4 linked regions of the Struthio camelus genome follow. The protein of the gene in region 3 purifies or fractionates together with the protein of the main gene of each other region. This does not show direct contact. Links are inferred from orthologs where the notes say so. Each region holds a gene or a part of one and is shown on either strand. Other genes may lie near its edges. The genes, in order: PRPF6, SNRNP40, DDX23 and TSSC4.

Region 1 (6,818 bases), on a different chromosome or scaffold from region 3:
GACAAAAGTCATATTTAAGAAAGCTTTCTCTCCTTACTTTCAAGTCTGAGAACTGCTGCTGAATTTTGGGTCGTTCCATACGGTATTTTTCTATCTCCTCTTTCTCTCGTTGTTCCCTTAGGAAAAGGGGTACTGAAGTTATACTCAAAGTAACACTGAGCAAGTCTTTATCTAAAGCATTGTTATTACAGAAAAATGTGTTTGATCAGAGGTAAGGCACAAAAAACATTATTATTCCAAGTTTAGACTATCATCGTCTATAACAGCAAATTAAATAGCTCATCAATTAAGACAATGTTACAGTGTCAAATTAGACATTTGCAACCAAATCAACTTCACTCTTTAACCTCCACTTACCTGTAGACCAGGCAATAAACTTAAAAAAAATTAAGTGACACTCACGGGTTTACAAGACATCTGCATTAGATGACTTCTGTAACAATTGCCAGTGTATCGTACAGTAGGTAATATGTCAGAAACATTAGCTCAGCATCTCCCTAAATCTTCCTAAGGAATTACAATGAAGCAATTCAACCAAATCTACCACTGAAGAAAATGGGCAACAAGCACAGAGATACGCTCAGGTTAAATTGTGCCAAGTATCCATAGCTCTTAAAGCAACAGTATCTAACGTACAGCATTAACACAAACAAAACCAGCATCTGCTTCTGAAAATATATTCAGTAGACAAGGACAAAATTTGAGTTGAAAAACAGAAGAAAACTCTGAAATACAGACTAAATAGAAAACGCAGACCAACTCAAAAACACTCCTTGCCAGCATTGTAACTAAGCCTACCTTCTTTCTTTTCTCCGTTCATCCATCCTTTTATCCAAAGCTGCATAAATAGCATCTGCTTCCTCATCGTCTTTTTCATAGGGACCACTTGAGAACAGGCTCCCAGCATACCCATTGAACTAAGAATAAAATAAATAGCAGTTCAAAAAAAGCTGAACCTGCAGTTTAGAACTCTTTATGTACCTAGTACAGCCAACAGTCATGCAGGATAAAGAAAACGCATGAGCAAACTATTTTTAGTAACACTGCATCACACTAAAACATCCCTAAATACAAACAACTTTCTTCTACCGCAAGAGCCGATTCTCCCACACCATTTCAACAGCAAAACTTTCTATTAAGCAATAAACAAGCTCCCCAGTAGAGAAAAGCCGTTTTGTTCCATTACCCAAAAAGTGTTACTATTGAAATCAAACAAAAAGAGTAACACAATAGTTAACTAACCAAAGCGTGATTTAAACACAAGAGACTACACAGACCGCGTAAAAACAGAACTATGTCAAAAGCTTAGATTTCATTTTTGCAGCCGAATAAAAGATGCGTCCCATGAAGCACTTAAACTAATATTTTACCTATGGATTTCTTCCTAAGACTCTCAGGGCTCTGTATATATAATTAAATCACACATATGGATGAACACCAAAACAGAGATCTGAAAGCACTATGCTATTATGTATAACAGGGTCCCAATAAAAAAAAAAAGAAAGAAAGAAAACAAAAAAAGAGGAAGTGCTGTTAGCTGACTGAGGGTTTTACGACAAGAGAGCAGGAAGCTAATGGGCTCCTCTTCCACTAGGGAAAAAACACCTGAAGGATGATTAACACATCACCTCATCATAATTGGTGTCATTCAGATCTTCGTCATCATCATCAGCCGTCTGATTCTTCTTCATTTGATCCCCAACCGTTCTTTTCCCTGGCGGAGCATGACGATCATCCACCGGGTCATTGGCATCACGTGCTGGGCCGATATCAGACCGGGTGGTGAAACCTGTGGCTCTATGTTGACAGACCAATAGCAGCTATTTACAACGCAGCAGTGCAATCACTACACAGAGTCTGTTAAAATTACTTAAAACTAGAAAATTTAAAAAAACACTTCATTCACAGGGATGGCATTACCCATCCCTACTGTTCATGAAACCCTTTGGGAACAATTGTCCTTTTATAGGTATAACTTTATTTATAATGATACTAGAATCAAGTTGTCCTGCTCACCCCCTCACCATCCATCACCTTGTACCCAGAGATGCATTCGCTTTTAAAGTCTATCCATCAATGGCATGCAGCAAAAAAGATTATCTACATCCTGCAGGTTGTAAGGTGCATACAATCAGGGCAGAGGCAGACACGGGGGCTCTTCAGAAGCCCCATATTCAGCTAGTCAATGCTTTCCAGGGCCCAGCCTACAGGACTACATGCCCCTGTCCACAAGGATGCCTCAACCCAAAGCAAAGACACGAACAAATCATGACAGAGAAAACCAGGATGCAAATCCGCTGTCACCCAAGAACAACATAGCTCCCCACCACCACAGGGCAAACCCCTGCTGCCCATGCATCACCAGGACCTGCCTGTTGTTTTACCCTATAACTGCCAGCACAAGCGTGCCCTGATTTTAATGACTTCTACCGAAGCCCCCCACGCGCACACGCAATTACGACACGAGCGCACAAACCCCGGGTCAGCGGCAACACCCCTCCTAACGGACAACGCTCAAAAAACCCTCGAACTCATCCCCGAAGTCGGCGTTTACGTAAGAACAGCCTATCGAAAAGGCAGACGCAAACCGCCCAGAATGAATAAAACTTTAAAAAGCGGAGCAGGGGCCGCTGGGCACGGCCTGCCCCGAGGGGACGGCGATGGGCGGCGGGGCGTAAAACCGGGCTCAGCCTGGAGTTGGGGGAAGGGGCTGCGGGCCCGCGGGGGGGCCAGGGGGACCAGGCCGGGCCGGGCCGGGCGACGAAGGCCGCGGAGGGGGAAGGCGGGCCGGGGGTGGGGGGGAGGGGGCTCACCCGCGGCCCAGCCCCGGTACATAGCCCAGGGGCGCGGGCATGCCCAGAAACGGCTTCTTTTTCTTGTTCATGGCGGCGGCGATGGCGGCGGCGAGGCGAGCGGCGGAGGCGGGGCCGCTCGGGAGGCGGCGGCGGAAGCGGCGGCGGAAGCGGCCGCCATCACAGGCCGCGCCGCGGGGCGGGGCTACCCAGGCGGCCCGCGCGGCCGGAAGCGCGACCCGGCACTTCCGCTCCGCGGCCGGGGAGGGAGGGGGGGGAGGAGGAGGGGGAGGGAGCGTCCCTCGCGCCCCCCGCGCCCCCTGGCGCCCCGGGGGTCCCGCCAGAGCCCGGCGCGCATGCGCACCCCTGCCGGCCCCCACCCCCCACCTCCCCACCCCCGGGCGCGCAGGCGTTGCATGCCCGCACGTGGGTAACACCCCGGTGCGCGCGCCCCGGGCAGGCGCGCGCGCGCACGCAGGAGCGGGCACGCACAGCTGCACCCGTGCACGCGCGGACGTGCACGGCGCACCTGCACACGGTGCACAAACCTCTGCATGCGTGCACGGGTGCCCGTGCACCTGCACATGGGCACACCCTCGCACACAGCTGTGCATGCACCCGCGCACCCACCTCCGTGCATAACGTGCATGCCTGCACGCACACCGCTCTGCACGCATGGCACGCACGCATGCACCCACCCACCCCTGCACACACGTGTGCCTGCACACCATGCAGGTACACGTGTACACATCACACACGCGCATGCACACCTGCACGTGCGTAAAGCTGCACACCTGCGTGCATGTGCATGCACACCTGTGCACCTGCACACACCTGCACCTATACATCTGTATGCACGTGCGCACAAACCTGCGTGCACACACGTGGCTCTTGCTCCGTGTGTAGACCACACCTTTCCACCACAGGTATGCCTGCTAACAAGCACAAATACGTGTTAAAGCCTCACGCGCCGCCTGCATAGGTTCCAACCCAGCTTTCCTGCACACGCGTCCTTGCCTGTGAGGAGTTGCGTCCCCGCACGCACACGGAATGCCACACATCCCTTCTGCATTACATACACTTTGCACACATCCACCGACAAACACACGCATGTGTCCACACCTAAATGAACATACTCCCATGCATGTCTCTAGTGTGGGCACATATATGGACACCTATAGCCACAGGGGTGCAGCCGGACCCGCAAATGCAGCACAGCGCTCGGCCCGCTCTATCCCGGACGCACCCCGTGGCACCCGCTGCGCCGCCCCGCGCCCACACGCTTCCTCCTCGTTTGCCTTAATAAATGCAAAAATCCTCGTAGATTCACAGCACGCCGAACAAAAGGCATGCGCCCGCATTAAATAACTTGGATCTTTTTTGCTGATTAATTACAAACTAGCTTCTTCCTCTTTTGCATTTGCAATTAAACAGGCAGAACAGATGGCGCAGGCTTAATTTAAAGCTATGCGTCCCCTGGTTTAATCAGGCTCTCCCTGAGCTCGGGCCCTGCTCCAGCCAGAGTCGGAGGCGGATTCGGGCTCGGGGCGACTGAGATGAGACGTTCCTCCGGGGGACTGGGGGGGGCCGGAGAGCAGCTGGCGCCAAGGGAGCCTGTTGGCTTTAGGGGTGCGATTCAACCCGCCGCCCCAAAGCGACCGAGGAGATGGGGCTGCAGAGCACTGTCGCACTCAGGACACGTCCCAGCGGCCCAGGGCCAGCCTGGCCCCTGGTCTAACGCCTAGCTCCCACGAACGCCCCCAAAGCAGGCGCCGTGTCGGGAGCGGGGTGTCAGCGTGGCTTCCCGCGCTCCGGCACGGCCCTTTTCCCTCCGACAACGCGGAGTTTGGCTTATCGAGTCAATCCCTTGAAAAAAAAAGGACGTCAGCTCCCAATGAACGCCGGGAAGTCACCAAGCGCCAGCCACCGCCGCGGCCGCTTATCCCACCCGAGGGACGAAACCGGCTCCGAGGGCCGCGGGAGCCCTCGGGGGCCGGCCGGGTCTCGCAGGGTTTTGCCCGTGCCGGATTAATTAGCGCCCGTTTGCAAAGTGCTCCGGGCACGGCAGGTTCACGGCTGCATTAGCGCCCGCTCCGGGGTCTAGGGGCCCCCCCGGTGGGGCGCTGGCCCCCGCCGGCCGCCCCGGCCCGCGCCGCCCCCGCGCCCCGCGGCAGCTCCCACCAGCCTCTTGGAAGCGCCAAGCAGCTGCGGAGAAGACGAACAGCCCCATTCTGCACGCTAACCGCGCACCCAACCCCCAGCCACTTCACAGCGAGCTATTTTGGGGGTTGGCTGGCGGAAAATAATAATAATAATAATAATAATAATAATGAGCATCGCTTTTGGCAAACGGTCAGGGTGGCGCTGGGGGATGCGCCGCTGCCCTGGAGCACGGGGCTGGTCTCGGTGCTGTACGTTTGCTCTGTTCACACCACAGCCACATCCTTTCCCGTGCTGCGCGGGAAGGATGCCGCGCGCCGGCCGCCGCCAGCCGTCGCGGCGCAGTCGCGCTCCCACCCGCGAGAACGCCCGGCATAATTTATAGGCTCGGTAAAATGCCTCGTAAATGCTTTTTAGTCAACTCTGCGGGTACCCAGCGTTGACGCGCGGGTGAGCGTCGCGCAGAGCCGCAGCCTGGCGCGGAGCATCCCTGGCGTGGAGCGGCCGCGGGAGCAAAACCAGCGACTGGTCCTAGTTTTCAGTGGCAAAATCTGAGGGGCGAAGGGGCAACTGCACCTGCTAAATGTGCAAATATAATGCACCGCCCGTGCTGCGCGCTCGGCCTTTGCAGTTCGGCCGTAACTCTACAAGAAAACCAAGCTGCTCCGCGGCGCGCGCGCGAGCATAGCGGCTCTTGCCTCTCGCGCCTGCGTCTCTGTGCACGGGCAATAAAACCGCTAAGGAGCAGAGGCAACGGCAGCAGCGAGGAGCCGCGCCGGCGCTGCGCTTCGCTCTCGGAGAGCGCGCTCCCCGGCTGCTACCTGCAGCACGAACTGTAGGGAAGAGGTGCCGGAGTCACCGTCCTCTGCCAGGACAACGGGAGAGCGAGCCGGCGAAGCCGGTGTAGGAGTGCTGGCCGCGCTGCGGCCCTGCGCCAGGCAGAAACGCGGGGCTGTCCATGCACTGGAAATTAATGTTTTTAAATATGACGTAATGCAGCGAGAATAGATAACACAGGAGATTATTGCAAGAATGGATCATGCAGCTGGCGTGCGCAGGGCATCGCCCCAAGGACGGTGGGATGCAGGGCGTCACCCCGAGGACGGCGGGGAGCTGGTGCATGCAGGGGGCATCGCCCCAAGGACGGCGGGGAGCTGGTGTGTGGAGGGCATCGCCCCGAGGATTTCAGGATGCAGGGCATCGCCCCGAGGACGGCGGGATGCAGGGCATCGCCCCGAGGATGGCAGGGAGCTGACGTGTGCAGGGCATCGCCCCGAGGACGGCGGGGCGGCGGGGAGCTCGCGCGTGCAGCAGCGCCGGCTCCTTCCCTGCCATCCGGTGCGAGTCCGGCCACGGCCGCCCTGGGCAGACCTGCGCCGGCGGTTTGCGTGCTGCTTGCAGCATTGAGGTGTTGCTGCTTTGCACTCCCAAATCGGATGATTACTTGGATTTCAGGTGCGAAAGTGAGAGAAAAGACTAAACAGGGACTTGTTTTTAATCTGCGTCTGCTCAGCTACTACATTAACACTTTTGGAGCCTATTCGCACTTGATTATCGCCCTGTGCCGTGAAATCCTCTGAAGACAGGATGTCCTACTTAGCAAAATCAGCTCTGCATTAGGTAAATATACTTCCTGAAATTTTAATTAGTCCCACACAACGGCTCCAGAGGGGCCCGGAGGCCGCGGTCGCAGCATCTGCTCGCTGCCATGCGCCACGCGGGCGCCTGGTGCCCCGCGGCAGCGGGAGCCTTTGCGCAGCTCACCGGTGCCAGCGGCAGCCGAGCGCCAAGCCCGCGCCGGCACGCGGCGAGAGCCAGCGCCTCCGGACGCCTCCGCCGAAGCCATCTCACGTCTCGGGGACGATT
Region 2 (7,270 bases), on a different chromosome or scaffold from region 3:
CATTCAGATTAACATTCTGCATTTAACATGAGCGAACCAAAGCGCTGTAGAAGAAAGGGTATGTTTAGGAACTTTGCTATAATTCTCAATAATTAATCAGTAATCCACCCACAAGGGAGTTTCTGCTGGACCTTCAGCAGATTTGCACCCTGAAAAATAAGACTCTATACCTGCTCTCACATTTCTATCTTCTTATGAGGTTAAAAACTTTCTAAGTATCTGTATTAGGGGCTTATTCTTTTCTGAATCCTAATAAGCCCTTGATTGCCACATTATCCCTTTAGAAGCAAGAGCAAAGGTCGTAACTTTTAAAAGTCTTTTTACAACCTTCTATAAGTACACACCAAAAGGTTCTAAATCTGTTTATCTTCCACAAATGGAAGGCATTGCTTTGTATGTCAACCCTATTGTTATCGTTCAAAAAATCTGAAAGATGTAAACCAATTATGACAAAAACCTCTCATCTCTAGAAGGCAGCAAGTTTCAAAATACATGTATTTGCCAAAAGAATTATAAAAAACCACACACACAAAAAAACACCTTCCCACCTTTCTTTCCTAAAAAATATAGTCCACTTTCACTGTTTCAATGGCTCACCAAAGTAAGAGTCTTTGTTCCAAGGAATCTTTAAATATAGAAGATAGGCCTAGCATCACTTCTTTTGTGCACCAAAAAAGCAATATAATAAAGGGTAGAAAATAAGACACACCCCTCCAAAAAAAAAAAAAAAAATCTGTGTTTTCCCTTGGGCAAAATTCACTGTCAACTATCTTTCCTTGAAAACAAAAAACACTCAGCTTCTTCTAATAACAGACCTGTCTCTCACAACTGTTAAAAGACTGTGCTTATATTGGCTCTCATCTTGGAATCCTCTCAAATTGCTCATTTGGCCACCAATCACACAGTTATGGGGGTGCAAGCTGCAAACAGGTAGAGAGGAAAAGAAAGGAAAGCGCTTTGCTGCTTTTAAGTTTTGATTGCATTGCAGCAAGTCACAGAAGGTCAGCTTCCAATGTCTCACCTGACAGTGAGCAGAAATCAACTGTTTATCAGATATATCATGTTTTGTTTAACAAAGCGACCAGAACACCCTGCTTCTGCATATCAAAAAGTTCTTAGTTTACTCTTTTTGTAATATAATTTATTTATACAGTGTTAAAGAAACAAGAATTAACATTACCTCTTTTCCAATAAGTTTCACCCACACTTTGTCTCCAACATCTACTATCTCTGAGGGCTTATCCACACGGCAGGATGACATGTGAGTCTTATGAACAAGGCCTGGTCATATTTTTGTAAAAAAAAAAAAAGGGAGGAAAAAAAAAAAAAGTCTCTACTGACTGTTAGTTTTGTCCTCTAGGAGTCAGAGGGCACCTATTAAGAGGTTTCCCTACGCAAAACTAAGCATCTAGTTTCCCAAACACATTACGCAGATGAGAATCAGTTAGTTTAATCAATCAAGTTTGTTTGCAAACATATAAAAGCTCATCAATATTTGCTCCAAATTTACTCCATGCTGTTAGGAAGCATGAGTGACACACAGCAAGACAATAGGCGTCAAAAGAGATAGAGGAAGCGATGAGAAAAGCACTGCTCTCCCCAAAGGTGTAGAGCTGCATATGCCCCCTTCTGACCACCATCACCACAGAAACAATCCTCAAGTTTTTGTATGAAACAAATGCAATCAAAACTAAGGGATCTGATCAACCAACAGGGAGACAGTATTCTCATAGCCTCCAGGCTGGATTCATCAGTCCAAGTTTTCATGTGTGTCCAGACACCTCCGGGGCTGGATGATTTAGCACTATGTGCAATGAGCTGGCGCCTCATTGATAACTGAGACATTACCGATAACTGAGACACTAACTCCAGAAAAAGAAAACGGACCTTCCGTATTTAAGATCTTAATTTACAGCTTGTCAGAGAAGCAGGCCCCAAAGCAGCGTCTTTGTACTCAAAATACCAGGCGTCCACATGGAAAAAAAGAAAAAAAAAACTTTTTATTTTAAGCAGGCATTAACGCCTCTCTATTCCTGTCCGTCCTCTGAAACCAACGTAAGCACTAGAGAACAAAGAACATTTCATGCATCAGCAGCACAATACTTTGCTGGCAATGTCAAAACCATTAAATACCCAGGCTGACCTGATTTTCTGTTGTGCTTGCAAGGTCATACAGCCAGATTTTTTTTTTTTTTTAAAACTTACACAAATAATAAATGTGGGCTACAGGATTATACATGGAAGGATAAGTATGGAAACACACCTTCATGTCTAGGCTTATATTTCAGGACATGTTTGCATCTCAAAGAGACATCCTTCCACTAGTCACACTTCCATGCAAAAATTTTTATTAGAGCTGGCGCTAAAGTAAGTGTGCAATTCAAGATGAGAGTGAAGAAGTGGTTATTCGTATGCATACAAACAATTGACAGAACATCCAGCTTAAATTGCTTCTTTTGTGTGACTAGTTTATTTTACTCTGCAGTTTTCCCACAACTGTAAACAAAACTAAGTCAGCTTTTCCGGTCTATTTTTTATTTGAAGTCCACTTCAGTCATCTTTATTTGACTTGCAAACTGGTCATGAAAGAAATAAGTTGTCAAGCTAAATTTCTTGTGGAATTTTCTATAGTTTGTCCACCACCTGAAAACGATTCTCTAAGATGCGGTGAAGTTACCAAAAAAAAAAAAACCCACTTCCTCTGAAATCCTCTGAGCCTTTTCTGTATAACTGCATATGTAGCACTACCTTAAGTAATTTGTGAGAACCTGTTTTTTCTTTTTTTTAAGTTCAACACTTTTTCTGAGCTAGCAGATAAATCAGATAGAGAAAAAGAAGGAGAAATTCTAGTATTCTCCTAAAAATTGCCAAATCTTTTATTCTGGGGATGATTGCAGAGCCTAACAAGTCAACATGAAAATAAGCCTAAACAAATAAGAGAAACAAACCTTGTTTCCTGCAGCCTGGGATTTTTATAAATGCCCCATATTCTGTTACAGTAGCAACCTGTGAAGAAAATCAATACAATATCTAAACAAAAGAGACTTGGTAAAAATCCTGTTTTGAAACCACCAGTTAAAACATGCACAAAAAAGGCTAAATGGTTCTCATATCTTAGTTCAGTTTTAGACTTCAAGGCTGGGGAGAGACAACACTCCTCGATAACTCTAGAACAAGCGTGGCCAGCCAACTACTCCTCTGTTAATAATACATATGCATATATGTGTGTGTGTGTGTGTGTGTGTGTGTGAACACACACATATACGTATACTTACATAAACGAGCAACGTAGCTGACAGTTACCCAAACCACCGCTGAACTAACCAGTCATTTAAACTAAAGCAAACAACCCGCACTTCACGACACCTCGCAGTATCGTGGCCGCAGCCCCACTGCACACCTCTCCTTGGAAGATAGCGTAGAGCTCAGGCAGCGCCTCCATCATCTCAGACCTCACAGGACGTGCTCGGGAGCGTCTCTGGGAGCAACCGACAACGTTCCTCCAAAACCTTCTGGGCGACTCCAGTTGAACTCATTGCACGTCACTGCGCTGCGGAGGAACCACGCTCGTAACCGGAGTTCAGAGAGATGCCTTGGAAAAATATATTTAATCAGCACTTGAGAACACCTCCTGCAACCAGCTCAGTGACATTCGACTAATATGACAAATTCTTTGGTTCATTTTGATTTAGGCTATGATGCGACACTAGCTCCTCGAGCTGGGTGACACCAGCTGCGGCCGCCTTCGGGCCGCTCTCCCAGGCGGCACCGGGCCCAGCCGGGCCTGATCCGGACGGAGGGTGGGGAAGCCCAACCTCGCCGCAATGCTCCGAGACTTCCCCTGCCAGCGCGACACCAGCCCCGCCGAGGCTGAGACCGAGCGAGCGCCCGACCCGTCGCCGCCACCGTTACTTACCCCCACCAGGCGCCACCGCCATTTTGCCCCCTCCCGCTTCCCCCCTCGCTCTGAGGCAAAGCGGCGCTCCACCAACCGTCGCGCGCGGTGATCGCAGGTGACAGCCGGTGAGCCAATCGTCTTTACCTATATTGCCTCTCTCCCTCCATCCCGCCTCCTCCGGCGCCAGCGGCCAATCCGCGCGCAGAGCGCCCGGCCAGGCCGCCTCTGCTCTCCTTTCGCCACCCGCGCGCCGGAAGTGAGGTACGAAGCGAGCCGAGCCGGGAGCTCTCCGCCAATCAGCGCGGGAAGACTTGGCGGGGCCGCCCAATGGGGGCGAGGGGGCGGGACGGGCGGGCGCGCGGCGGCGGCGATGATCGAGCAGCACAAGCGGAAGGTCCCGGGCGGCGGCCCCGGCCCGGGCCCCGGCCCCGGCCCGGCTCCGGGCGCCGCCCCCGGCCCCGACCTCCCGCTCGTGCCCACGGCGGCCAAGCGGCCCCGCCACGACCTCCCGGGAGCGCCGGGCGGCGGCGGCGGCGGCGGGGGGCAGCAGCAGCCGCCGCCGGGGGCCCTGCTGCAGGCGGTACGGGCGGGCTGAGGGGAAATGGTGGAGGGGCCGGGGCCCGGAGGGGAAATGGCGGAGGGGGAAGGCGCTGGCCGTGCCCCGGGGGGGTGCCCCGTCCCGCCGCCACGGGGCCGCGGTGCTTCGCCCCTCAGCCGACTCACTCGTTGCCTCCCCGCAGGGCCCGCCGCGATCCTCCTCCCTGCAGGCCCCCATCATGCTGCTGTCGGGGCACGAAGGCGAGGTGTACTGTTGCAAGTTCCACCCCAACGGCAACACGCTCGCCTCTGCCGGCTTCGACAGGCTCATCCGTGAGTACCAGCGGTGCTGGCGGCGCCGGGCTCCGCTGCCCCAGCGAGCGCGGAGCCGGGCCGGGGCTCGCCTGGCTTCGGGCAGCCGCCCCGTGCCTCTTCCCTTAGACTACCGTTAGTTTCATTTCAAAAATCTGCTTGCTGAGTCCATGTAAAGCGCGTCGGCGCTTTGCCAGGCGGTGAACAGGAAACGTCAGGCTCCTCGGACAGGTTGCTGTCCAAGTAGTGTGGCTTTTTCCTTGGCTAGGGTCAGTAATGTGCCTTGCTTGTCCTAATTCTGTATTCGCTCATCCCTTGCGTAGGTTACTATGCATTTGTGTCTGCACCAATCTTTGGAAATACATTTTTTAAGGCTTTTGGCTTGCTAGAATGGGTTGGAGTGGCTACCTGTTTTTCATAATAAATTCACCTGTATCTGAAATCGTAAATCACCTTAAAAGAGCTGTGTGCTTTCTGGGGCTCACCTAGCCCACTTGGTACTCTTTTATTGCTATATGTCCTAGATGTGAAGAGATGTTGGCTACTGTAGGTGGTTCGTTTTAATGAATTTCGGGAGAATCAAGCTATCCACAGCGAGTGCGTGTTTACATCGTTCATTTACTAATCTCTCTCTTTCTGTCCTTTAGTGCTGTGGAACGTCTATGGGGACTGTGATAATTATGCCACCCTGAAGGGACACAGTGGAGCGGTTATGGAGTTGCACTATAACACAGATGGCAGGTAAATGTCGTGAGGTCGGTTTTCTGCCTCACTTCTTGCTCTTTCTGAACAAAGTCTACAGACAGTTTTGGGAGAGTGGCAGCATCTGTCATGCACCTCAGCCACACTCATTTAGGTGGCTCGTGAGGGGCGCTTGGCAGTTTTCAGGGCAACGTATTTGCTGCTGGCCAGCCAGACTCCTTTAGAGCTCCTCCTGTTCATTGCAGCTGCTTAGTTGACCTTCATTAATGGTACTGAAGAGGAGCACTTGTACTGTGGCTTTCCCAGGAAGGGAGTGTGCCTGCTTGAGATTAAGCAAAAGATATGGAGCTACTTGTGACCTAGGAGTGCCCTTGATTTCAATCTTGAGGAACACGTGAAAGTCTGAGCTGGTCTTGAGCGAGATGCTGGTTGGTTGGGGAGTGAAAGAAAACAAGTGAGATATTTCTTAATTTGGAAGATTGTTCCGCTGTTACATCTTAACCAGGAGTGCTACAAAGAATTCTTTCTCCTGTGTTCTCATCCTAGATAGTGTTTGAGCAGGTGGAAAACCAATACGTACTGATCAAAAAATGGGTTTAGATGGGAGCATCTCCACTGTACTTGTTCCACGGTCATTCAGTCTGCGCTGACCAGAATTGTCTTTGCACCAGCCTTTGCATATTGGGCGTAGTTCTTCTCAATGACATGTTTGTGTTTAACGTTTCGAGCTTTGCTCTCGGTACTTGGGAGTAACAAAAGTAGAATGGGAGAAATGCCTCTGAAATGGAGAACTTCACAGCTGTTCTTCTCCGCAGCATGCTCTTCTCAGCATCCACAGACAAAACAGTGGCGGTGTGGGATAGTGAGACGGGAGAGAGAGTAAAGAGACTGAAGGGCCATACGTCATTCGTTAACTCCTGTTACCCAGCAAGGCGTGGACCCCAACTTGTCTGTACGGGTAGTGATGATGGGACAGTGAAGGTCAGTGCGTTGTATAAGGAGATAGTCCTTTTTTGTTTTTACTGGTTCAGTGAGTTAAATTCAGCCTTTCTTTACTGTCTCATAATTTCATTATCTAACAACTTCAATAAAACTTGATACTTCTTTTCCTTCCACGATTCTTTGAGTATGGGTTCAGGAGATGCAGTTGGGATACCATATTGGAGCAGCCTAAACAAACCATTGTCTCATTAAAGGAGGACTGTCTTCTTTCTGTGTAACAGTGTGCTTGTTTGTGATGCATTGTAATCGATATAGATTTAATGCAAAATAAATCAAGTTTTACTGCAGTGTAGAACAGCATAAACAAAACATGAGGAAGGCAAACAGGTACTGAAATCTTTTACTCCAGCTCCTTCTTGCCCCGTCCCCTATTTTCAGAAATCGAAAAGTCCTGTGTTCCTGACCATAGCATGTCTCTGCTATTATTTTTGTAGCTAACTCTTGAGATCTAAAAAAGTGAGTTTCAGTAGAGCAGTCAGAGACCCGGCAACGTGTCTGCAACTTTCTATGATTTTATTGTTAAATGCCTCTCTGTAACTTTTAAAATTGCCATATCTTTTCAGCTGTGGGATATCAGGAAAAAAGCTGCTGTCCAAACATTTCAGAACACTTACCAAGTCTTGGCTGTGACTTTCAATGACACCAGTGATCAAATCATATCGGGGGGCATTGACAATGATATTAAGGTATGATGATTTCTATCTTGTGCATCTGTTCTGACTTTACACACCTTTTCCGTCCCATCAGATTTTGATTGTAGCGAAATGCAAGATATAGCAATGGTCGAGGGAAAACGTGGAAGCCTGTTGGTTAACTTTA
Region 3 (7,847 bases):
TGTGGGGGGGCAGGGAGGAGTCCTTCCAGGAGCGGATGGGGTTGGGGATCTTGCCTCCCTTGGTGGTGATGCTGTAGTCCTCGCGGAAAATGCGCCAGTCCCTGTCCGTCATCTCGTCCAGCTTCTTCTGGGACCAGTGCCGGTCGTCCCAGCGCTGCTTGGCCTCCTTCTTCCGCAACTTCCGCAGCCGTGCCCTGGGTGAGGGGAGGCAGGGGACAGTGCTCTCCCCCTGGCCTCCAGGAGGGGTCAGAGCTGTCCCCACCTGTCCCCAGCCCACCCCACACCTCTGGGGACACTGGATTTACCCCTCCACCTAACAGAGGGACATGCTGTAGTCCAGAGCCCCTCATTCTGTCCCCACACGGACAGGTAGAGCCAGACAGGACCCCAGCCACCCCTCAGCACGCTCCCAGCTCCTCCCCAAGCGTGCTCACTCCTCCTGCTCCTTCTCCTCCAGTGTCCGCCTCTTCTCCATCAGGTCCCCGTAGAAACGTGACTGCTCCCGTTTCTGCTGTTTCAGGTCAATTCCCGCGATGAAGCCCCGGCCCAGCAGCTGCACCTGGTGCCGCTCCTTGTACCTATGGCGGGAGGGGAGCGTCAGGGGCAGGGCTGGGGCTGCCCCATGCTCCCAGCCCCAGGGGTGCCCCCAGCACTCACAGGGGGTTGTAGTCGATGGACGTGTCCTCTGACGCGTCCCACTCAAAGACAAACTTGCGGTCGTTCAGGTGCCGGGTGCGCCTTCGCTTTTTCACTCCTCCCAGGTACCGCTCCTGCAGGCGGCAGAGCGTCAGCCCCTTCCCCCAGCCCAGGCTCCCCTCCCCGGCCGGCAGAGAGGGGACCCAGGCGGCCAGGGCACCCCCCTGCCCCAGTCCAGGGGGTCTGCAGCCACTGGCACCTTGATGGCGTGGAGCTCTTTGCTCTTGTCTTTCTCCTCCCGGATCTTCTGCCTGCCTTCCTCGTCCTCCGTGCCATTGGTTTCCCGCTCCATGCGCTCACGGCGCTCCCTGCGCTCACGCTCCTGGGGGTCTTCTGGGGAAGTCGGGAAAGGGTATCAGAGCCGAGCCCTCCCCAGCAGGGCTGGGAGGGGGGTCTGCTCCAGCCCCTCGCAGCCAGGCAGGCCGCAGTAGGGGCAACACCTTACCCAGCATCTTCCTCCCCATCTCCTGGAACTGCTTCCGCTTCTTCCTCTCCTCCTCCAGCAGCCGCTGCCGTTCCTCTACCTCCTGCTGCCGCCGCCGCAAGGCCTCGGCCTCCCGCTCCGCTTTGGACAGGAATTTGGGCTGGGACAAGAGAGGCAAGTTTGTACCACAGCTGGCTGCAACCCCCTAGCCACACCGACCCCGGGGCTGCCCCAGGCAGGGAGCAGCGTCCAGCAGGACAGGAATATCCCCATGTTACAGCTGCTGTGGACAAGGGGTGCTGAGGCCACGCAGGGAGGGAGGCCTCACACTCGTTCCCATGTGGGGGCCGCTCAGGCCCCTTGCAGCAGGGAGAAGGGAGACCCCCATAGCAGGGAAAGGGTCCCTGCTCTTACCTTGGCTTCTGCCTCTTCTTCAGCCTTCTTCTTGGCCAGTAGCTCCTCCAGGGACAGAGGCTGAGCCTGCAAACGTAGGGCCGGACCGTTAGCAGCCCCGAATGCTCCCAGTGGGCATCCCCTGCCCTGCCAGAGGCAGTAGCAGCCCCCCAGGAACTGTTCCCAGCCCAGCCTCCCCCCGTTTACCTTCTCCTTCTTTAGCGCGTTCTCATCTTCCTCCTCCACCTTCCGTGAGTCCCGATCCTTCCGGGACTTCGAATCCTTGCCCCTGCTTGGGGACAAACTTCCGAGCAAAACAAAGGAGAATCAGGCACCGAGCGTAATCCCATCGTCACCCAGTCCCTTCTCTCGCTAGGGCCCAGAATAACGATTCCTACAGAGCCACACGCTCCCGAAGCGTCACTGTGCTCCACCCCAGCAACAGCTGCGTTTCCAGGCTCGGTCCCCTACACGCGCTCACAGAAAAGCTGGGCGGGAGACGAGAGCGCAGACACATAGACAGAGACGTTGAGAGAAGAGCAAGCGCTCACCTAGATCGCTTCCTGTCCTTATCCCGCCGGTGCCCATCTTTGTCCCGGTCGCGGTCCTTCTTGCTCCTGTCCCGGTCGCGGTCTTTGTGCCGGCGATCCCTGTGGAGCAGGGCAGTCGCGCACGGCTCAGCCCCAGCCCCGCGGTCCTTTTGGACGGCTTTTACACGCACCCGAGAGCGACAGAGCTCTCTCCTAAAAGCCAAGCGGTGCCTGGGCTGGGCCGTCACCCTCTGAACTCACCTGTCCGCCGACTTGGAGCGGGAGCGGGTGCGCGAGCGGCTGCCCCGTCTGCGGTCCCGGGAGCGGTGCCGCTTCCTGTCCTTGGAAGGGGAGCTCTTGCGGTCGCGGTCCCGGTCGCGGTCCCGGTCGCGGTCCCGGTCCGGGGAGCGGGAACGTTTCCTCTCCTCCTTGGCGGGAGACGCGTCCCGATCCTTCTTGTCGGCCAGTTCTCCCGCCATCTACGAGGGCGGCGGGTCAGAGCGGCAGCCGGGACCGAGCCGGTACTGAGAACCGGAGACCGGTGACCGGCGTCCCAGGGACCCCACACGGGGGGACCGGCAGGGCCCTCCAGCCCCGAGCGCGGCAGGGTCCGGTGGCTCCGCGCCCCGCGGGGGCAGCGAGCGCGGTACCGGGGCCTCACGGCCCAGGGAGCCTCCACCGCACCGGGGGGCGCCGGGGAGCGCCGGGGGGCGCCTCTCCCCCCCCGCTCCGCCCCCTACGCCAGGAACGGCCGCGCCTCCCCCTGCCAAAGCGTCCGGTCGAAGCCCCCCCGCGCCCGGGCTCACCGCCGCGCAGGCCCAGGCCTCAACGCCGCCGCGCCGCCATCGCCATCGCCGCCGCCATGTCCGCGGGCACCGCGGGGCACGCTGGGAACGGTCCCGGCGCCGCGACTACAACTCCCGGCAGCCCCCGCGGCGCGGCGCGGCGCGGCCCCCGCCCCGCCCCGCCCCGCCCCGCGGCTCCCTCCGCGCGGCCGCAGCGCCACCGCGCCCCGCGGCTCCCTCCGCGCCGCCAGCCGCAGTGCCGGCGCCGCCGCCGCCGCCGCTGGGGGGCCACGGCCGCCCGGGCCCCTGCAATAACCCCACATGCCCTGGGGTCCCAGCAATAGCCCCACATGCACTGGGTCCCAGCAATAGCCCCACAAGCATCCTGGTCCCCTGCAGTAACCCCACATGCCCTGGGGTCCCAGCAATAGCCCCACATGCACTGGGTCCCAGCAATAGCCCCACAAGCATCCTGGTCCCCTGCAGTAACCCCACATGCACTGGGGTCCCAGCAATAGCCCCACATGCACTGGGGTCCCTGCAATAACCCCTCATGCACTGGGGTCCCTGCAATAGCCCCACATGCACTGCACCCCCTGCAATAGCCCCACATGCACTGGGGTCCCTGCAATAACCCCTCATGCACTGGGGTCCCAGCAATAGCCCCACATGCACTGGGGTCCCTGCAATAACCCCTCATGCACTGTGCCCCCAGCAATAGCCCCGCATGCACTGCGCCCCCTGCAATAGCCCCACATGCACTGGGGTCCCTGCAATAGCCCCACAAGCATCCTGGTCCCCTGCAGTAACCCCACATGCACTGCGCCCCCTGCAATAGCCCCAGATATGTCATGGCCCTCTGCAATAACTCCTGCAATAGCCCCACGTGCATCCCTGTCCCCAGCAATAACTGCTGCAATAACCCCACATGCACTGCGCCCCCTGCAATAGCCCCCTTCAATAACCCCTGCAGTAGCCCCACAAGCACCGCAGCCTGCTGCAGTAACCCCTGCAATAGCCCCACATACACTGCGCCCCCTACAATAACTCCACATGGACCATGCCCCCCTGCAATAGCTCCCATGCACCATGACCCCCTGCAATAACCCCATATAAACTGAGTCCTCCTGCAACACCCCTTGCAATAACCCCACATGCACTGTAGCCCCCTTCAACAAACCCTACAACAACCCCCCCACTCCATGGCCCCCTGCGATAACCACATCTGCACTGCAGCCCCATACAGTATCCTGTACAATAACCCTCCGCGCACCCCAGCAGCACCCTGCGCACACCACAGCCTTGGGCAGCACCACCACATGCACCACAGCCCCCTCTCCCCTCCCCCCCCCCAAAGCAACTGCCCTCCTGCCCCAGCACAGGCCTGGCAGGGGGCTGAGGACCTCAGCCACCACTGCCCCTCGAGCTGCTCTCTGGAGAGCAGGAGGCACCCAGGGAGCCCTTACAGGGTGCCCAAAGTCCACCGCACCCGGCACAGCCTGGGTGCATCAACCCCTGCCCCTCTCCCCCCCACCCCAGGCTGCCTGGGCCACCCCACCTCATCACCTATGGGTGGCCAGATACAAGTATCACTGTCATCCTCCCTGCTGGCACAGGCAGAAGTTGTGACACAGATGGAGGACAGACCCCCACCCAGGCCTGGCCCCAAATCCCCCCGACGCAGCCCCTCACCCAACACACGACCAGGCACCCACTGCACGGTGGATAGTTGTTATATTTCCAATAATAAATAAGCTTTTTTAATAACACTGAACATTGAACAGAGTCACCCCAAGAGACAGTCTATAAAACAAGTCGCCCCCTGCCCGGAGCCCCACAGAGCCCCTCGGGGGGCTCCAGGGCCAGGGCCAAGCAGCAGATGAGGGATGGGGCAGAGCCAGACACCAACTGGGCATTCAAAGAAAAAGGATGAGTCCGTGGATGAGTCCTGCCAGCTCCGGGGGCTCAGGAGCAGCCACTGAGCAAGGTCCCCTCTGCGCCGGGGGTCCCCCAGGTCCCCCCACCCCATGGCATCACAGCAGGGGCTGCCCCCCAGCCCCAGGGGCCAGGACGTGCGCGCTGTCTGGGGGGAAGCGGTGTGATGTGGGGGGCCGCCGGCATCCTCCCCGCGGGGCACCACGCCGCAGCCCCCACTGCCCCGGTGCGGGGGCCTCGGGGGGCCAGGGCCATGCTGTCCTGGTCTCCCCCCTTCACATGACGGAGCAGCTTTTTGCCTTCTCCTTCTTGAAGGCGGAGGAGATGAGCTCGGAGCGGCTGGGCAGGTGCAGGAGCCGCTTGGAGAGGCTGCGCGCGGGGCTCTTGGGCAGCTGCGGGCTGGGTCTGCTGAGGCAGATGCCGGACACGGTCCGGAAGATGCTGTGCACGCTCTTCTCCGACGTGAAGGCCGAGCACTCCAGGTAGCTCTCTGCTCCCAGCTGCTTGGCCGCAGCGCAGCCCTGTGACCCAAAGCCACGTCAGACTGAGGCAGTAACTGACTTGCTGCCCCCAAACTGGCCCCCTCAGCACCCTGATTTTGGGTCCCAGCCCATCCCCAGCACCTGCTCGTAGGAGATGGGCGCCTGCTTCTGATGGGAGAGCTCCATGAGGGTGCTCAGGTCCGTCCGCAGGTCCGTCTTGCAGCCGATGAGCAGCACCCGGGTGTTGGGGCAGTAGTCCAGGATCTCCGTCTTCCACTGCACACACAAACCCACAGTCAGCTGGGCACCCTGGGGTCCCCAAACCCGATCCCAATGCAGGGGCTTTCCTGGGAAAATGGTCCCCACGACCGTGCACGGAGGGATGGGGCTGAGCACCCCTCACCTTCTTGGATGCGCTGTCCAGGGTCTCAGGGCGGCTGATGTCGAAGCAGAGCAGCACGGCATCCGAATCGCTGTAGCAGAGGGGACGCACGTTGTCATAGTAGGGAGAGCCTGGGAGAAGGGGGGGGAGTCACCACGCTGCACCCCGCAATGGCCGAGGGGCTGCTGCCCCCCAGGCAGCAGGGAGCTTGCAAAGGAGGGGGAGCAGCTCCAGAGCACCCTAAAACACTGCCTTGCCTCGTTAACACACCCATCTTCACTAATGAGGCAGCAGGAAATGGTTCCTGGGGAGTTTATATAACCGCAAACCCTCCCCCACAAGAAGGGAGCCCTGCCAGCAACAGGGGTGTCAGGGACCAGCCGGGGCACCCGGTGAGGGGGTGGCAGGGCACCAGGCCACCCCCATGGGGCATGCCCCATCACCAGCACCGCAGAGGGACACTGCGAGGGAGCCCCCCCTGCAGGCATGGGGGTGAGGCAGGGCACCCCCTCCATGCTGCCCCCCCCGACCCCAGCGTGTCCTCCGAGGGGTTTTGCAGCCCAGACGCTCCGTGCGCGGAATAGCAAAGAGGCTGCGCCAGCACATCGCCATGGCAACATGGGGACCGCAGGTGGCGGGGACCCCCTGCCGATGGGGGGGACACTGCAGCAGCGGGGCAAGGCTGCCCCAGCCCCCCCCCCCCCCCCCCCCAGGATGGGGCAATGGCAGGACTCCTCCATTTGCAGAGGCCCCCATGCAGCCCTAAGGGGGGCTAGGAACACAGAGGGGCTTGCACTGGTGCTGGGCTCCTGCCCAAAAAAGGGGTGCTGAGCCCATACCTGCCCCCAATGCATCACCCCCACCCCACAGAGCCCTGTCCCCTCCTGCACCCAGGGGACCAGGCCCCCCCCACTCCCCAGCCTCAAGGATCCAGGCCCCCACCCTGAGCCAGCCCCGGCTATGCACCCCCACTGCAGCCCCCTCAAACCAGGTCAGAGCCCCCCACCGTGCCCCACTGCAGGCTCCCCCCGTGCTGCAGCCCCCCCATAGCCCAGGCATCACACCCCCCCCACCACTGCAGTGCCCCATTGCAGGGCTCCACCATGCTCCCCCACAGGTCCCCGATACCAGCCTCCCGCAATACTGAGCGCGCAGCTCCCCCAGAGCATGCCGCACCCCCCCCGCTGCATGCCCCCACCTCTCGGTACCGGAAGGGCATTCTCCCCCCCAACTCCTCCCCGGGAATGTCCCCACTTCCCCCAGTACCAGACAGGCACCCCCCTTTCCCATGCATTCCTTCCCAGTACCGGAGGTGCAACCCCCCCACCCCGGTACCGGAGGGGCATCCCCCCTCATTCCCCATGCATGCTCCCCCCGGTACCGGAGGGGCATCCCCCCTCATTCCCCATGCATGCTCCCCCCGGTACCGGAGGGGCATCCCCCCTCATTCCCCATGCATGCTCCCCCCGGTACCGGAGGGGCATCCCCCCTCATTCCCCATGCATGCTCCCCCCGGTACCGGAGGGGCATCCCCCCTCATTCCCCATGCATGCTCCCCCCGGTACCGGAGGGGCATCCCCCCTCATTCCCCATGCATGCTCCCCCCGGTACCGGAGGGGCATCCCCCCTCATTCCCCATGCATGCTCCCCCCGGTACCGGAGGGGCATCCCCCCTCATTCCCCATGCATGCTCCCCCCGGTACCGGAGGGGCATCCCCCCTCATTCCCCATGCATGCTCCCCCCGGTACCGGAGGTGTCCCAGAGGCTCAGCTCCACGCGCTGCTCCTCGCTGGCCAGGCACGCCGTGTAGTTCTCAAACACGGTGGGCACGTACGTCTGCAACGGCACCGACAGCGTCAGCGCCCGGTGCCGCCGCCGGCCCGAGCCCCGCTACCGGCGGCGGCCGCGGCGCGCCTCACCTCGGGATAGCAGTCCTTGGCCAGCACCTGGAGCATGGCCGTCTTGCCGCACTGCACGTCGCCCACCAGCACCAGCTTGCAGCGGGCCGGGGCGGGCGGCGGCGGCCTCCGCTCCCTCATGGCGGCGGCCCGAGCGCAACCCTCCCCCGCCCGGCGCCCACCCGCCAGCCCTGCGCGCCCGCGCCGCAGCGCCCTTATATAGCGCCGCCGCCGCCACGCCCCGCCCACGGCGGCGCCCGCCCACCAATCGCGGCGGGGGCGCTCGGCGCCGCGGCCAATGGCGAAGGGGCGAGGGGGGGG
Region 4 (7,430 bases), on a different chromosome or scaffold from region 3:
AAGTCATCAGTCTTCTTAGGAGATTTTCCTCTCAGATCTGTTTTTGTGTGTTTCTTATGATCCTCCCCTGCTGACACTTTCTTTTCCAGTCCATCAACGCCCCTTTTTGTTGGTTTGGTGAAGATAATCCTTCCAGCACCACAGCTGGAGGGGTCCTGGTTGAAGTATGGGGTGTAGCTATCGTGGGCAGCTGAGCTTTGTTCCTCTCCTCTTTTCTTCAAACCCTCTAGAAACTCCATGGCCACTGCCCTGTTAGTCTTGTCATTAGACTCTGAAACGCCATCTAGGCTATACTTGGTCCAGCGCTCTGGGTGTGCCACATAGTCAGGAACTGCAGCAGAAATTTTGGGAGCCTGCACTGGTTTGGTTTGTTTTCCAGGGCTTTCTGGAACCATGTTACTTGAAACAGTAGTTGGAGGCAAAGGACGTTTAAACCTACCATCAACAACATTATCTTCAGGCAATGAGGGCACAGACAGTTTGGCTGCCTCTTCCAAGCAATCAAAAATGCTCTGGCTACGGAGAGAGAATGTAGAACTCATGCCTCTCAAGTGGAATGGCTGGATGGGAGATTTACAACGGCTGTTTGAAGAGTCGGAGGTCTCCCCTGATTGGTAACCCCCATCATCTACAGATGGCTCCTCAGGAGATATTGTATCAACTTCAGCTTCATCCGCTAACCCAAAGTCATCGGAATCAGAATCGCTGAGTGATACTGTGTCAGAGGGCAGAACTCCTTCGTAGTCTGTGGTACCACCAGCCACTATACCCAGAAAGGGTTCACCTGCATCTTGATCTCCCATCTTTGGGCTGTCACTCCACTGATGTCTATGATGTAGGTCCAGGAACACCAGCAAATATGGTTTTCCAAATACCCAACGAATGTAACGCCTAGAATGCAAGGAGTTCAAAAATTCAACTGTGATACAAGTACCATACGTATCACTCTTAACTTAATAATCGGTCCTGCTGTAACCATTGTTTACATGGCACAGGTTATCAGCATCAAGTTTTTGAGCAAATCCACATGACTGTCTTATACGCTACTTCCAGCAATGACCTGTCCAGACTACACCCTATGTTTACCGTACTGTATAAATCCAACAGAAATATACCCTAATCTCTCACTTACTTTGGCTGCTATTTTCCTTTGCTGCACTAGCACTACGCCTTGTGCCAATAAGCAGTGTATTCATTATACTGTCTGTTACAAAGAACACTCTCACTGATCAAGGTCAGTGAGAGAGAAGTTTATAAAACAGCACGGCTATAGCTTCATTTTTTCTTTACTGATATAAAGCACAGGCTTCATTCCTTCCCTGACTTTAAGCTCTGTCACGTCATTACTAGGTTTCAGGGATCATGTGATGAGCCAGCTCAAGGACTTAATCTAATTGGATTAGGAAAACTAATCACACATGCCTTGCTTGTGCTAACACAGTGGAAGCAAGGGGAGCCTGCAACTGAGGCTCAACAAGAGCTGGCCCTTCACTCAGTAAAAACAAACTGTGAAACCGAAGCCTGAGTTCCAGTACAGGCTGGAATACCAGATTCGCTCTGTCTTCCGACAGAAGGGAACTCTCCATAACCGGAGATGGTTGCTGTTCACGCTGCCACTTGCTGGGCAATAAGAAGCGGAGCTGGTGAATATGCACCTCAGTTCAGCTCACAAAAACATGAGATAAGGAAATAGTTCTAGTATATTACTAGAATAAGCTCAACTACATAATTATGGGTTATTTTCAAACAATGCAGTAAACAGACATAGAAAGTCTGTTAGTCACTCACTTTCTCTTGAGACTGAGTCAGCTTCCCCTCCTGAGGGTCAGTTAAAGCCATCAACGATACAAGCACTTCCACCCTAGAAAACAAACATTTCCATTACAATATTGGAAATGTAGTTTTAGCATGAGCTTTAAAAATAATTCCTTCTCTCTGAATCATCCAAAACTGCAGAACTGATTTCTAAATCTGACATAAGCTCACGCTAATATACAAGTCTGCAGATATTCCCGGATTCTTGGCAAAAGAACAACGCGCTCCCTAATAAGGCTGGCACCGCTACATTTACTCAGTCTCCACGCTCACGCTGCCCGCCTTAAGAGTCTGTAGAACGGGAGACAGCCTTTTAAAAAAAATAACACTGTCATTTGCACGAGCAGTAAACCGTCAAGAGGTGAACTATGTTACATACGGCCAAGAAAAATATCAAATGGACGCTTATGCGTTACGAGCACTTAAACGCTGCAAAAAGAAAAAAAAAAGAAAAAAGAGAGAGACCAAGGCTAGCCCAGGCCCACACAGCAGAGACCCAGGCTAGCCCAGGCCTGTGTTTTCAAAGCAAGGCCGTATTCACAATCTGGGCCAGATTTCTACCAGGCGTTAAAACACAGAGCAACTTCTCAAGAAGGCAGCAGCCCGAGCGGTGCGTTGCACACGCAGCCCAGCTGCCTTGGGCAAGGCGAGCGGATGACTGCTTTTAAAAGCACGGCCCCTGCTGCCACTGCTACATGGCCAACGGCCGGCTGAAACCCCTTACGCCCTTCCGGTTCAGCTGCCGTAGCACGTGAGAGAAGCGGCTGCCACCCAGGAGAGCCCAGGAAAAGGCAGGAGCGACTGAAACGACTGCTTGCAGGCGGCACCGTGCGCGTCGGGGGAGTCACGGTACCTCCTAGCCGAGGTCAGCTACCCACCGGTCGGCGAGGGCGGCGTCAGCCCGCCGCAGCCCGGCGGCTCCCTGGCCGGGAAGGGCCCCCTCACGCTCCTCCATGCGGCCGCAGGCCTCTCCCCCTGCAGCCAAGGCAGAACACACACGCCATCACCCCCACGCCGTGGCCGGCAGCCCTCCCCGCCCTTCGCCGTTGCCTCTCCCGCCGGGCCCGCAGCCCCCTACCACAACCCGCCGCCACCCCAACGGCTCCTCGCAGCAACCGCCCGCGTCCTGCCCGCGCGGCGCACGCTGGGACACCGAGTCCCTGCCGCGTGAGGCGGCGCGGCGGCGGGCGGCGCTGGGACTACAACCCCCAGCAGGCAAAGCGGAGCGGGGGGGGGGAAGGCGGGAAGGCACCACCCAGGCCTCACCCGCCCCTCGCCCCTTTGCATGCTGGGAGCTGTAGTTCGCCCGCTTGCCCCCAGGTGGGGGACATTTTGCGAGCTGGGGCCCTCCGCGGGACGCGGCGCGGCGGGACTACGGCTCCCGGGGTGCACCGCGAGCGGCGCCCGCTGCTCTCCGCCGCCATTTTGCAGGCTGTGGGGAGGCGGGCGCGCTGCTGGCGCAGTGCCCTGCGGCCCGGGCAGCAATGGCAGGGCCGGCCCCGCCGTCGCGGTGTGCGGGGCCGGAGCGGGGTCCCGGCCGCCCCCGCCTGCCCGGCAAGCGTCGAGCTCGCCGCCTAACGGCCCCGCGGCGAGCCGGCCCCTCGGAGGGCACCGCCGCCGCCTCCCGAGCATCCCCGCAGCCGCCTGGCAGAAACACGTCCAGCAGAGCCTTTTTTCTCATCGGAAAAGTAGGCGTTTGGCCACAGTGAAAATGTCAGAGGAAGTGTCTGGTGTTTGTTTTGTTTTTGGTTTTTTTTTTTAATTTGTATGTATTTATTTTTCAACCAGAAGACTTCCAAGTCACTAGAGGCATAAAACCAGTGTCCAGCCAAAAAAAGAAAGTTTCCATTTTCTGTCCCAGAAGAACATAATGTGTATGCTTGGAAAAGTGGAATTCTTTCTAAAAATGTTTTATTGGTTTTGGCCAAAGGTGCTTGATTTTTTTTTTCCCCTCGTTCAGTGAAAAGTTTAAATTTCCAGTGAAAATAGACTTCTCAAGTGACTTCAATATTTAGCTCATTTACAGTGTGTTCAGGAAAAAAAAGAGCAAGGTTTGTTCTTTGAGTGCCATACACGCAGCATGCGGTACAGAAGTTTGCAGGATTTTCCTTTTTCCCTCCACCCTTCCGCAGGGTCACGCACCCTTACTGCGTCGCATGATTGTGGGGGCTTCGTCATTAAATGGAATTAAATTAATGCCTACAAAGGGTCTGAGCTGCTAAAGGTCAGGCCTTTACTTAATCGGGTTGCCCAGCAGTGAAGGATTAAGAGAAACATAGGACTTAGTCCAGGCCTTGTAGATGATTTATATCATCGTTTTGCAACAAAAGACAGAACTGTTGGTGGAGTCCTACCATTTTGGATTTTGGTGGCACCTTTTTTTCCACAGCATCCAAACCCTGTTTCATCTCGGTTTCTTTGCCAAAAGGTAAGTTTGTGTCTGTGTCCTAAAAGACTTCACAGAAGCCCTTCAAGAGGGGCCTCGCTGTGAGTCATCTGTAATATAAGCTGCAGCCATTTGTATTGTGAGTTTTAAAATATATATACACTTTTGCCTTCTGGAGTGTTGCTCACTACAGTAATTTATGAGATGAGTAATTTATGAGATGAGAGCTGTGTTTGGAATACGTTTGGCAGCAGTAACAAGGTTAGCACAAAATGTCTTTCGTCTGGCCGGAGCTGTGCTGCAGTTTTAAATCAACAGTTCTAGAGGTGTTTCCCCATTTGGTGATCCTTTTTGAAAATAGTGTGATCACAGCCATTAAAATGGGTTCCTGGCTGGAGGGAGGAAGAGCGGAAGAGTTCTCTGGTACATCAGCAGGAGCAGGTATGGGGAGGGTAGTAAACAGGCAAGGAAACCATCTGAAAGGGGAAATAAGACTAAAACACAGGTAAAGTCTGTGTAACACTGTGTAGCATGTCAGGGACGTACCAGGAGTGAATCTCGGAGAGTAAAAAGGAGGAGGCAAGGAAAGGATGTGGAGTAGGCAGTGGCATATCCCTTTTTTTTGTAAGGGTGGAGACAAAGAAGGTCTGGTGCAAATGGATGAAATGGTTTAAAACCTGGTTGTAATGCTACGTTAGTTAGGAGCTCAGGAGGGCAGAAAAGGGCTACGCCACCTCCAGTCTCTCCATCATCCACGAATCCGGGTGCCTTCAGGGACAAGCCCCATTCCTAGATTTGTGGAGGCCACTGGCATTGCTAGGCTTAGTCACTGCTCAGTTTTCACCTGGAAGCTATGTCTGTTAATGGCCAAAGTCACCTTCAGAAGCTGGCTGTACCCATTTTCTCCTTCCTGCCTTTTTGCAGAAGATCAGTACCACACACTGCAGCAATCCGGGGATGAGCTACTTTTTTCTGGTGACTGAGGACAAGGCAGTTTGTAGTGGTGGATATACTGGTGTGTTGGGATTTTTTTGCTATTGCTTGGTGACAGCTGAAATAAAAATAATGAGTCAGGCCCTGAAGATGAACAGATGGTAAAGCGTTTTCCGCTAGCCAATATGAACTAAGGTGGCTTGAAGAGGGATGAGGGGCTGGATCGCGGCTCTAACTGTGGTGCGGGAAATCATCCAAATGAGGGCGGCGTGTTCTGTGTGCAAGCTCCAAGGAGCCAGCTCCACCACGGCGTGGGCTTCTTGGAGGAGGTGGCCCTGTGCGCCTGCAGGAAGCCAGCACCTCCCTGCATGCGGGGGTGGCCTGTGCGAATGCATACACATCACAGCCCTGCTGGTGGGAGCTTCATGCTCCTTTCTTGCAAACGCATCTGTCAGTTGGTGCCCATCTGGTAACAGGTTCTGCTACTCAGCCGGCAGGTTCCTGCTGCTTCTGCTGTCAGAGGCCAGGGTAGACGCTGGCAGGCAGTTCCTGCCCCTGTCCTCATGGCTATTGGAAAGGGGCAATTCCTCAGAAATGGGGGAAGCTCCTTATGGTGGGACTGCAACGGTTGCCATAGGTCTCTGCAGTGGGGGACTAGGAAGCAATAGTGGCACGGTATCTGTCGGACACAAGTGAGCCACTGAGATCCTGCAAGCCAGAGAGAGCAAGCAGATGCATTTTTTTTCACCTCGTTATGCATCTGGAGTGAGGATGGAAGTGAGTCTGACCTGGCTATGCTTAGCTGATGCTGTAGGTCCTGAAAGGAAGTAGGGAGGGAAAGGAGTATTTTCCTATAGCCAAAATCAGTAATAGCACAGTAATAAAGACCATATTGTCCTCTGCTGGGAGGATGCAGCTGCACCAGGGCAGAATGGGGTAAAGGTAGTGGCTGAAGGAAATAATCAGATTTGCCCTCTCCCATTTGCAGGAAGGAAAGTCTACAAGTGGCCATGAAATCCTGTTGGGTGAGTTTCCAGGAGCTCAATGTTTGACACTCTCTTCTACACAGAGTTTTGCTCACTAGTTTTGCTTAGTATTTTTATTTGGTCCTGGTTCACCTGCAAGCAGTTTTGATTTATTTCAGTGCTGTTTATCCATGTTGGTGCTTTTTTTCCCCTAAGGTAACTATTATCAAAGTAGTTACTGTGACGTTAGTCTTAATACAGGCAGGCCATGAAGCTCCAAACCCCAGTTTCCATCAACCTGTTCTTTCAAATACCAATGTTATTGCTTGACCTGGAGAGGACCTGTGCTGAGAACCTGCATCCCTTGCTCTGTTAGAGACCATGTATGTGTAGGAGATGCCACACACGACATCTGAGGGGGAGCAGGAGCTGAAATTGTTTAGGACCAAATTAATGTGCTGTGCAATTGTTGTTTCAAATTTAAAAAAACAACAAAACAAAACCCCAAATAGTTGGGGGACCCTCTGTTCATTTTGATTTAGCTACAGCATATTTTTACTAAAAAGCTTTCTCCTAATTCTCACCTCTTTTTTTTTTCTTTCCTATCATTGGCCCCAGTGTGTTTAATACTGCAGTTGAGCAGGGCTGAAAGAGAGCGTTTGAACTAGTCGAGTGCCTTGAAGTTAATATTAAAAAAAAAAAAAAACACAAACCCCCTAAAACTCCCCACACCTCCTGTTAGAACATAACCTGTAGACACTTCATTAACTGATGTGACTTTATAGTCAACACAGAGATTTGTGTTTAACACCTCTAAACCTTGCCAGAGGGAAACTCCCCAGCTTACTCCCAGCCTGCAGGCACAGTGTTATACACAAGCTGTCTTGCCTACCTAACACCAACACCTCACTGGTACTCAGCAAAGCTGTGTTCTAACATGAGTTAGTGCCCTAGAAACACAGGGCCAAGAAATACTTAAAAAAAAAAAAAGTAATTAGCTTTTAATTAGAAATATTACTTGCAACCACTGGCATTTGAGCTGGCTCATTGGCTCATCTAAAACTAGTGGGGAAACACCAGTCAATCCACATTCTCATGCCCAGCTGCAAAGATACTCTCTGTAACGCATCTGCAAATGTGAAAACATATACACACCATGCTTAGTTGGCTGCGTGCTGTTTTCTTTTTGCTCAAGCTCCCTGGGCTCTGAAGTGAAAGCATCCAGCTGCCTACTTCATACGCACCAAGTGCCAGAGGCTGGCCAAAGCATTTACATTGAAATAGTACACTTTTGCCTATGGAGCCTCCTGCTTAGGGTATGCCCTGTGCCA

Evidence for each region.
Region 1: the proteins of DDX23 (region 3) and PRPF6 purify together in Homo sapiens (affinity purification with mass spectrometry; 3 studies listed by BioGRID and IntAct, counting the BioPlex papers as one, with this or other methods). This does not show direct contact. The link is inferred for Struthio camelus from reciprocal best matches to the Homo sapiens genes DDX23 and PRPF6.
Region 2: the proteins of DDX23 (region 3) and SNRNP40 purify together in Homo sapiens (affinity purification with mass spectrometry; 3 studies listed by BioGRID and IntAct, counting the BioPlex papers as one, with this or other methods). This does not show direct contact. The link is inferred for Struthio camelus from reciprocal best matches to the Homo sapiens genes DDX23 and SNRNP40.
Region 4: the proteins of DDX23 (region 3) and TSSC4 purify together in Homo sapiens (affinity purification with mass spectrometry; 3 studies listed by BioGRID and IntAct, with this or other methods). This does not show direct contact. The link is inferred for Struthio camelus from reciprocal best matches to the Homo sapiens genes DDX23 and TSSC4.

What each region holds. Positions count from the first base shown.
Region 1 is NC_090959.1:17,594,651-17,601,468, forward strand, and holds the start of PRPF6 (pre-mRNA-processing factor 6), read right to left. Parts: upstream 3,009-6,818; 5' UTR 2,885-3,008; coding exon 2,814-2,884; intron 1,798-2,813; coding exon 1,629-1,797; intron 918-1,628; coding exon 799-917; intron 117-798; coding exon 38-116; intron 1-37. UniProt on the Homo sapiens protein: Involved in pre-mRNA splicing as component of the U4/U6-U5 tri-snRNP complex, one of the building blocks of the spliceosome.
Region 2 is NC_090964.1:4,647,242-4,654,511, forward strand, and holds the start of SNRNP40 (U5 small nuclear ribonucleoprotein 40 kDa protein), read left to right. Parts: upstream 1-4,259; 5' UTR 4,260-4,268; coding exon 4,269-4,478; intron 4,479-4,638; coding exon 4,639-4,768; intron 4,769-5,394; coding exon 5,395-5,488; intron 5,489-6,264; coding exon 6,265-6,430; intron 6,431-7,014; coding exon 7,015-7,137; intron 7,138-7,270. Other genes in the region: ZCCHC17 (zinc finger CCHC domain-containing protein 17), read right to left, coding at 1,181-1,281, 2,949-3,006, 3,401-3,445. UniProt on the Homo sapiens protein: Required for pre-mRNA splicing as component of the activated spliceosome. Component of the U5 small nuclear ribonucleoprotein (snRNP) complex and the U4/U6-U5 tri-snRNP complex, building blocks of the spliceosome.
Region 3 is NC_090969.1:1,012,228-1,020,074, reverse strand, and holds the start of DDX23 (probable ATP-dependent RNA helicase DDX23), read right to left. Parts: upstream 3,008-7,847; 5' UTR 2,850-3,007; intron 2,523-2,849; coding exon 2,305-2,522; intron 2,164-2,304; coding exon 2,065-2,163; intron 1,818-2,064; coding exon 1,721-1,817; intron 1,601-1,720; coding exon 1,535-1,600; intron 1,281-1,534; coding exon 1,142-1,280; intron 1,030-1,141; coding exon 896-1,029; intron 771-895; coding exon 658-770; intron 579-657; coding exon 435-578; intron 195-434; coding exon 1-194. Other genes in the region: RND1 (rho-related GTP-binding protein Rho6), read right to left, coding at 5,039-5,284, 5,387-5,521, 5,649-5,758, 7,377-7,464, 7,548-7,667. UniProt on the Homo sapiens protein: Involved in pre-mRNA splicing and its phosphorylated form (by SRPK2) is required for spliceosomal B complex formation.
Region 4 is NC_090946.1:18,608,425-18,615,854, reverse strand, and holds the start of TSSC4 (U5 small nuclear ribonucleoprotein TSSC4), read right to left. Parts: upstream 3,018-7,430; 5' UTR 2,894-3,017; intron 2,791-2,893; 5' UTR 2,694-2,790; exon of another isoform or gene 2,669-2,693; intron 1,862-2,668; 5' UTR 1,789-1,861; intron 892-1,788; 5' UTR 804-891; coding exon 1-803. UniProt on the Homo sapiens protein: Protein associated with the U5 snRNP, during its maturation and its post-splicing recycling and which is required for spliceosomal tri-snRNP complex assembly in the nucleus.